Macaca fascicularis: one gene and its partner. The protein of the gene in region 2 interacts with the protein of the main gene of each other region in a biochemical or structural test. Links are inferred from orthologs where the notes say so. Each region holds a gene or a part of one and is shown on either strand. Other genes may lie near its edges.

Region 1 (4,354 bases), on a different chromosome or scaffold from region 2:
TCGTGGGACAGCCAGTCCAGACCATCATAGAGACCTGTGCCTTGGGTGGCACAGGTGGCCTGGACATACCACTGTGGGGAAAAGGAAAGAAAGAGGTCAGCAACCAGGAACAAAAGGGCCTTTATATCCCTGTCCCAGCCTGTGGCCTCCCTAAAGAGGCAGGATTCAGCACCAGGTGGGCAGGACCCTTACCGTGCGGCTGCGCAAGTGCTGTAGCCCCAGCTTGTCAGTCAGCTCGCTCACGGGCATGGCGTTGGGCATGTCTTGCTTGTTGGCAAATACCAGCAGCACTGCATCCCGCAGCTCGTCCTCCTGCAGCTGAGAGGGGAGAAGAGAAGATGGGACCCAGGCTGCGTCTTCTTTACTGTATGGGGAATTCCCTTTCTACCTCCTAGGATCTTGATTGGAAAAAAAAATATTGTGTAGTCTGCCACTGAAGACAAGACATAGTTATAAATGCGCTTGAGGTGACCTGAGCCATAAGTCCAGAAATGAAAGACCTTTTCCTAATTTGAGTACTTGCCTAGGCAAAATGACAACATTTCCAAATGGAAAAGGCAAGAATGTAAAATGTTTCTCTTTACCACATATAAGTCCCATTTCCCCTGCAACTTCTCAGACTCAGATGTAAAGACATGAGAATGCAGCTGGGCGCGGTGGCTCATGCCTGTAATCCCAGCACTTTGGGAGGCTGGGGCAGGTGGATCACCTGAGGTCGGGAGTTCGAGACCAGCCCGGCCAACATGGTGAAACCCTATCTCAGCTAAAAATACAAAAATTAGCTGGGCATGGCAGAAGGCGCCCATAATCCCAGCTACTCGGGAGGCTGAGGCAGGAGAATTGCTTGAACCCGGGAGGCAGAGGTTGAGCCGAGATTGTGCCTTTGCACTCCAGCCTGGGCAACAAGAGCAAAACACCATCTCAAAAAAAAAAAAAAAAAAAGACACGAGAATGCACAGAAAGTCAGTCCCATCCAAAACGGTGAGATACACAATGTATCTGTCCATAAAGAAAAACTTGTATTTCTGGTCTTCAATGCTTGTTGGGGGCTCCCTGACTTCTATAGCACTAGAGAGATCACTCTGTCCCCAACCTGAGGGTTCAGTTCCCAGGGCTCTGGGTACTTACCATCTTCTGGAGTTCATCAGCAGATTCTTGGACCCGCTCCCGGTCATTACTGTCCACCACAAAGATGAGGCCCTGGGCAAGAAGGAAGAAAGGAGAAGCAATCACTCCTGCCTGGGACATACTGTAGTGTGGCCCTTTCTCTTCTCTTGCCGTCTGTAATTGTGTCAATCCTTCTCATCTAGTAAACGCTACAGAAGTTTACAGAACTCCATAGAAGCTCTACAGAAGTCCCAGCACAAACTAGAGACCCCACCGCAAAGAAGTAGTAGTTTATCTAAAGAAGTGCAAGGAAATAAAGACATGTGATGAGGGCTAAATCAGGCAGCCTGGCCCCAGAATCCTGCTTCTAAAGAGAAGTTCAAGCTGGTGAAGACTAAGGTGAGCTCTGAAGAGTGAGTAGAGGGTAGCCAAACAGAGGGGGGAGAAGCGGGGAAGGGTTTTCTCCTTGGCCTGGGGGCCCAGCCCAGGCCAACAATTCTGTTCTCCCAGCCCTAACACCTTTTCCCGTGGGGTTAGAGTCCCCTCCCAACACTCCACCTGAGTGTTCTGGAAGTAGTGCCGCCACAGAGGCCGAATCTTGTCCTGGCCTCCCACGTCCCAGACTGTGAAACAGATGTTCTTATATTCCACTGTTTCTACATTGAAGCCTGCAGATAATTGGGAAAAAAAAATATGAGAAAAACTCCTGAAAGGAGGGAACTCACTGAAACTACTTAGATCTCAGCAGGGACACAAAACCAGAAGGCAATGATCAAGGCCCAGGGGAACAGAACCCCAGAACTGCCGGTCAACAGGGCGGGGCTAGGTCACATCCACCCCGCCTCCGGTATCCACGTAGAGATACCCTGACCCACTTCTCAAATAGCTGTATCTGGTGTCAGGGTCAGCTCCAGAAAAGTGGCAGAACTGGGAGCAGACCCCGAGAGGGCCCGCCGCGGCGCTCCCGCTCCCTGCTTCGTCCCCGGGCTCACCTATGGTTGGGATGGTGGTGACAATCTCCCCCAACTTCAGTTTGTACAGGATTGTGGTCTTGCCAGCCGCATCCAAGCCAACTGCAACGGAGAGGGGCACAGGGATGGAGATGGGAGCGAGGGAGCCCCCTAGAGACCAGGGAAAATGAAGAGGCCACAACAGCTGATGGTGACGGGGGCGGAGAGCGGGAGCGCCTCCAGGTGCGCGTCGTTATCTACCTTCGGGGCCTGGAGGGCAGTTGGGTGGCGTGAGCCAACTCCAAAGAGGGCGCGGCGCGGGAAAGGGCTGGGATGCAAGGGGCACGGGGGGTAGGCCGCGCTCCTTTTAAAAGTCGTCTCCAAGGGCGGAATCCTCCCTTCTTATCAGCCGGGCAGGGGCGGAGGGAGCTTCACCCCACCCAGGCCCGCAGCTCCGGGTGTCAGGCCCCGGGGTCGGCGCTGCAGACCGGGACCCGCCCGAGAGCTGAGGCCCCGGGGCGTTAGGAGGTGGGTGACTCGGGGCCAGAGCCCCAGGTGAGCGGGGCTGGAGGGACGCGGGGGCGGAAGGGCTGCGCCGGGGCCGGCGCCCCGGTCCGGGCCGCGCGCTCGATCTGCCTCACCCATGAGAATCCGCATCTGCTTCTTCCCGAAGATCCGCGAAAAGAGCGCGGACACGGTGAGGCCCATGGCGGGGCCCGGGGAGGGGGCGCGGGCACCGACGCGGGGTGCGGGCTGGAACTGGCCGGCCGCGGGGGGATGGGGCGCAGCAGCAGCAGGAGGAGGCTCCGCCACCGCCTCCGCGCGTCGCTGCCCTCCCGACGTCACCGCGGGCCCGCCCCCACCCGGGCCCCGCCCCCGGCTCTGGGCCCCGCCCCACCCCGGGCCTGGCTGCTGGGGAAGCCGAAGCTCCGCGAGTAGCCGCCTCTGGCCTGGGTCCCGCGCTGCCCTTATTTGGGAACGGGTCTGGGTCTCCAATGTGCCTGTCAGGCCTATGGCCGCCAAACCGGCAGCCCGAGCGCGGCTGAGGAAAGGCTTCATCGCTCCGCATCGGCCTCTGCCCCCATTTTCAGTGGCCGGCCGCTGGGCTTTGGTTTGTGGCGTCCAGGCCGCTAGGGCTCCGGTTTTAGCTCTTGGGAACCAGTAGCACTGAACGTGCGCACCACTCTCCTTTGGGGAGCGGAAGATGCGCTTAGGGGTCTTGGTCCTCCCTTTACCGCCTCATCTTCCACTGAGGATCTTGCGCGTAGGAGGTGGTCGTTTGAAGAGTGCGCCGGAGGTAGGGGTAGGTGCCCAAGTGCTAGCTAGCTTCCATGGTTCCTCAAAACGCCTACTTCGTAATTCCCAATCAGCGGAACCAGTGTAAGATTCCCGGCCTTGGGCGGCGTGGTCGCAGACCCACTCCTGGGCTGTTGAAGTCCACCTTCGCTTAGATCGCCCTGCGGGCCCCGCCTCTCAGTCCAGGCGCTGGCCGCTTTGCTGAAGGGCCTCATTTTGCCACAGACTGGTGGACCTGGCTTATTCTTGCACACCCATTCAGGATTTTGTGAGGATCTTGACTCCCTAGACCCAAAGAGCTTCACATGTCATTTCCCTGCCTCATTTTAGCATCTGAGAGGAGAATAGCAAAATAGGAATGAAATTCTTCTGCGGTGGAGACTGGCTCAATGCCATGCATTTAATATAGGCCTAACAAATGCTTGTTCAGTTGAACTGGACTGATAGATTCCCAATGGAGCAAGGGCAGGTGTTATGCCTACTCTGGGTTCCCAGTGGGCTTCTAGGATCAATTGTTTATGGACTCGAGGTAAACTGAGCTGGGAATAAAAAACCCTTCATTCATTCATTTGCTTTTTCAGCAGATATTTACTGTGCACCCACCACATGCCAGCACGTGGTTTCAGGCTTTAGTTCAAATCTTAATTCTGCCATTTCTTGAGGATTTGGCTTCAACACTCCTCATAACTCTTCTGTTATTTCGTCATCTATAAAAGGAGACTTGTTCTAACTTAAGGGGTTATGGTGAATATTAAAATGATGAGATAATGTGACTGAGTGTTATGTATAATACAGCTTGATGTTATTTGGGCCACTGAGAAACGGGGTCTGAACAGACCTCCAGGTCCTGCCCCATCCTGACCTGCAAAGTCTATACCAAGGACAGACTTTGGGAAACAGATAGGAGTGAGTGCATGACTTTCCTTTTTCCTTCAGTCATAGATTTGCATCACTAAGAAGGCTTTTATGAGGCTGAAGAGTACATTTTAGAGAGTTCCAAT
Region 2 (4,332 bases):
ATGCAGAGAGGGGTTATTTGTGAAGCACCTAGTGTGCCCCCTCCCCCACCCCCTCCAACTTCTGGACCTCTGTACAAACCCTTAGGCTGCCTCCACAGGTGAGTGCTGCTGGGGGTAGGGCTGGGCCCACCCTGAAGGGGTTCTCCCTGTGGGCTGCAGGAGGGAGGGAGGATGACGAATGACTGCCTGGGAGGGCCCATGCCCAGTTCCCCCACCCTCTTTGGTCTGGGTGAGGCACCTGAAGCTCTGGGGACTTCTGGCTGAGGTCAGCAAAGGCATCACCTAGTGCATGCTGGGTCTGCAGCAGGCTGTAGAGGTGGGCTGTCAGTGCCCGGCCCAGCTGCAGGACACTCTCATACTTGCGCTTCGTCTCACGCAGCAACTCAATCTGCAGCTCTAGCTCCAGGTCCACAGTCCGTGAGCCTCGACCAAATCGTTCTGATAACAGTTGCTTTGTGCACTGATTGGGAAACGGGGCAATAGATCAGAGACCCTAATAGCCTCCCGACACAACAGGTATCTACCCCAACGCCACCCAGGCTCCTACTCTCAGCCACAGATGGGATATTACGATCATGAGGAAAGGGGAAAAAGGTACCCATAACGAGTTTTGGGGAAGTGAGAGGTGCTCAAATCCTACCTTATAGGTGTTGATGCCCCATTTCTTGACGATGTCAAACTTTTCTCCAGCAATGCCCCGAGCCACCTCATCTCCAGGGCCAGCAGGAGTGGTGCTGTGAGATGGATGGCGGCCAGACCCTAAAGGATCAAGTTCTCTGACACCAGCCTCTCTCAGATACACCAGACACCTCTGTGGCCCCACCCATGCTTCTCTCCCAGCACATGAAATTGACTTCCCTGAAGGAGATGCTAGAGACAACTGGATTCTCCTGTTTACTAGGAGGAACTCGGACCTTGCACAGTGATAACCAAATCCTGATATACATATGGCCTCCTTGGAGGCCAGAGGAGAGGTTTGCAGGGAGTTGTTGGTGTATAGGGGCAGAGGAAACAGAAGAAAATACACTGAGTTTGGGGGCAGCAGGAGTCAAGGATGGTGGGTCATGATAACAAGAAACCTGGTTGCATTCCCATGTGGAATCTTAGTGTGAGATTCAGGGCTGTTTGTTCCTCTAAACTTTAGAATCTAAAAATTCTGAAAAGCCTCACAAAGTTCCAACTCAGCCTCAAGCTGTAGAGCGGGGGCATTCCTGTGAAGTAGGTCTTAACTTGACTCAGGTGGTGGCAGGGAAAGGACGAATGAGCCATTTCAGGGGCCAAGTGGCAAAAGGGAAATGGATGGACAATGCTGGGAGTTGCTTTTGGGCTGAGGAGAGTCCATGGGATTCCTACAAGCAGAAGTTCCTAAGATCTCCAGACATTATTCAAGCTTTCCTAGACATATCCTATGCTTCCCCAAACCATTCCTGTCCCCTCCTCCACCCAAGCTTCCTGTTTCTGTTCATACCTGTGGGGATGAGTCCATCACCAGAGCCCCCATAGCCACCAGACACAATGCTGGTTTCATTGAGGTTGGGTCCTGACACCATCACTTGCTGGAGGTCCTATAGGCCAGAGAAGAGGGGTTGCTTCAGGAACATAGGGACTGCAGAAGCATTTTGGAGGTGGGAACAAGTTTGGATTCAAGCATCATAAAGACACTACACAAGGGAAGTCTGCACAGAATCAAAATGATATGTAAAATTAAGGGAGTCAGATAAGTTCAGGGGAAGGCTACTGGAATGGAGGGTGAGAACCCAGGATTTATAAATTGGATTCCTAAATTGAAACAATTAGAAGAATCAAACAGAAGCACCTGCTCCAGCCCATCATCTTCAGGAAGCTGCCTGGCTTCACCGTTCCCGTGGATAGGGATCTCCATTGTGGCTGCCTTCCCTAGGATCCCGTCCGTCATGGCTAGGAAAGGTATTGGAGTAAAACTCTCCACCCCAGCACCCTGCAAAGCCCAACACAGAAGTTCTGGGCACTGGCCAGCACTCTAGAAGAAGGAAGCCTCCTCTGTCATTTCTTTAAAGGCTGTCCCAGGGTTTGAGTGTCCCAGCGTTTGGTCATCATTCCTTTCTTCAGGTATATGTATTTCTCCCCTCCAAAATGCACATTTGTACACAGGCACACCAAAGCACGGTGTCTTCTCACAAGCCCCCAACCTCACCAGGCCTCTGGTGATTATTCTACACTCATTCAGTCATTCAGCAGACATTTAGTGAGTGCCTACTCTGTGTCAGGTACTATTTGTGACAATGAAAATACAACAGTGAAGAGGGAAAGTAGCTCTCTTAGAACTTATCTCCATGCAGGCGTGTTTATGCTGAGCAGGAGATGGACCCTTTCCAGGGCTCAGGTCTTCACCCCCCATTCAGGTTTGTTCTCCATTGCTTGGCCTTTCTCACTCCTTTAGTGTTTCTTCCCCCTTCCTTCAGGGGGTCTCCCCTCCTCCGTCTCATACAACTCCTCTTCCTTGGGCCCTCCCCACCAGGCCTTAGTTAGATCAGTTGGTGTATGTTCCCAGTCTCTGGCAAAAGCCTGTCTTTACCAGGATATCGGTGATCCCTTCCACAGTCAGTCTCCCAGGTATGTGAGTCCCCGCCCCCACCCCCATACACCTGGACATCAGGTGTGTCCTCATTCTTCCCCAGGGCTCGGGGCATCTTGCCCTCTGGACAGGTTTGTGCGTTCAACTTCCCGTCGCCCAAGCATGTCCCTCTCACCTCGGGCCGGGCCGCTCTTCCCCTCAGGGCGCCAGGCCCGGGCCGCGCGGGGACCTCGGGCTCCAGTTCCCGTCGCGATCCTAGCAGCAGGTCAGGGACTCGGCGGAAGTGACGTCCTCTCCGGGCAGAAGAAGCCGGCCACGTCGCAGATTATAAGGGCGGAAGTGACGTCGAAGCCGGGGCAGGGCGATACTCTAGCTTGGTTCTCGAGAGCAGCGAGAGGTTACTTCCGGGGCGGCACCGAGAAGCTGAAAAGGAAGTGGCGTAGAGCATGCGCCGGTGGCGTGATGGAGCAGCAGCAGCAGCAACAGCAACTGAGAAACGTGAGTGAGAACTAAGTCGTTTCGGGGCCAGACGTTCAGCTCGCATTCCTGCACACATCGCGGAAACCCCATAGAGCCAGGGATCTGAGGGCTGGAAACTTCGGGTTATGGTGCGCGGGCCTGGGAAACTTTGGGCGGCGCGACCTTGAGTAGAAGTGTGGGGCACATATCGCTGAGTTCGTGGTCCCGGTTTTCTCCCAGCTGCGTGACTTCCTGTTGGTCTACAATCGGATGACAGAACTCTGCTTCCAGCGTTGTGTGCCCAGCTTGCACCACCGAGCTCTGGACGCTGAGGAGGTGGGGAACTGTGTAAGGAGGTTACGCTGCAAACAGAGTTTAGCGGTAGACTGCTTCCCTCCTCACCCCACTTCCCCTACCTCTGGTCCTGGCCTTCCCAGACCCTCACCCCTAGGCTGTGCATGGGGAAGGACGGAGGCGGGCCCGACAGGACACCTTTGTCCTCCGCTTAAACCCTATCTTCCTTCTAGGAGGCCTGTCTGCACAGCTGTGCTGGGAAGCTGATCCATTCCAACCACCGCCTCATGGCCGCTTACGTGCAGCTCATGCCTGCCCTGGTACAGCGCCGCATCGCAGACTACGAGGCTGTCTCGGCTGTGCCAGGCGTTGCTGCTGAGCAGCCTGGGGTCTCTCCATCAGGCAGCTAGCCATCTCCAACCCCAGGAGGGAAGGCCCTGGATGGACCCTCAGATTGAAGGACCCAGTGGACCTTAGGGTTGGTGAATCCTAAACGGAGAGAATTCGAGGTCGCCTGAAAACTGGCTGTCCTTGCTCCTTTTCCTGGAGCCAATATACTCGCTTTTTACTCTGTTTGATTTATATTCTGGGCAAGGAAGCTTTGCATAGTTTATTGGCATAATCCTTTGTTCTGTCATTTAGCCATATCTGCTGGCTTCAGCCCTGGCAGCTGATAAGTTGTCTTCTATATGTAGAAGGAAAACCTGAGTATTTGCAGGCATCTGGTTAAAGCAGGGTCTGTGTGTACAATTTTAAAATGAGTAATATGTCAGGCTTTATCTTAGTTTACAACAAAACTACAAGTAAGCGGTATTAGCCTCACTAAATAGATGAGGAAGCAAGATTCCAGAATGTACCAGAAGGCCATTTGATACAAAAGGAGATTGGTTCCTGCCCAGATGACAGAAAATGGGAGCTCTGTCTAGTTGTCCTTAAGTCTGACTGACTTCAATGGCTTATAACCGTGAACCAAGTATTTGTTGGTTCATAACTGTTGTTTTGTGAACTATGTCTTATATGTCTAG

What was found.
Region 1: the proteins of ARFIP2 (region 2) and ARF5 form a complex in vitro, tested with the Homo sapiens proteins (2 studies listed by BioGRID). The link is inferred for Macaca fascicularis from reciprocal best matches to the Homo sapiens genes ARFIP2 and ARF5.

What each region holds. Positions count from the first base shown.
Region 1 is NC_088377.1:169,261,613-169,265,966, reverse strand, and holds the start of ARF5 (ADP-ribosylation factor 5), read right to left. Parts: upstream 2,855-4,354; 5' UTR 2,766-2,854; coding exon 2,699-2,765; intron 2,181-2,698; coding exon 2,100-2,180; intron 1,776-2,099; coding exon 1,666-1,775; intron 1,201-1,665; coding exon 1,129-1,200; intron 319-1,128; coding exon 193-318; intron 72-192; coding exon 1-71.
Region 2 is NC_088388.1:59,599,362-59,603,693, reverse strand, and holds the start of ARFIP2 (arfaptin-2), read right to left. Parts: upstream 2,831-4,332; 5' UTR 2,730-2,830; intron 1,958-2,729; 5' UTR 1,916-1,957; coding exon 1,817-1,915; intron 1,566-1,816; coding exon 1,469-1,565; intron 760-1,468; coding exon 641-759; intron 461-640; coding exon 239-460; intron 154-238; exon of another isoform or gene 80-153; intron 1-79. Other genes in the region: TIMM10B (mitochondrial import inner membrane translocase subunit Tim10 B), read left to right, coding at 3,017-3,052, 3,254-3,349, 3,541-3,717. UniProt on the Homo sapiens protein: Plays a role in constitutive metalloproteinase (MMP) secretion from the trans Golgi network. May have important functions during vesicle biogenesis at certain cargo subdomains, which could be predominantly utilized by secreted MMPs, such as MMP7 and MMP2.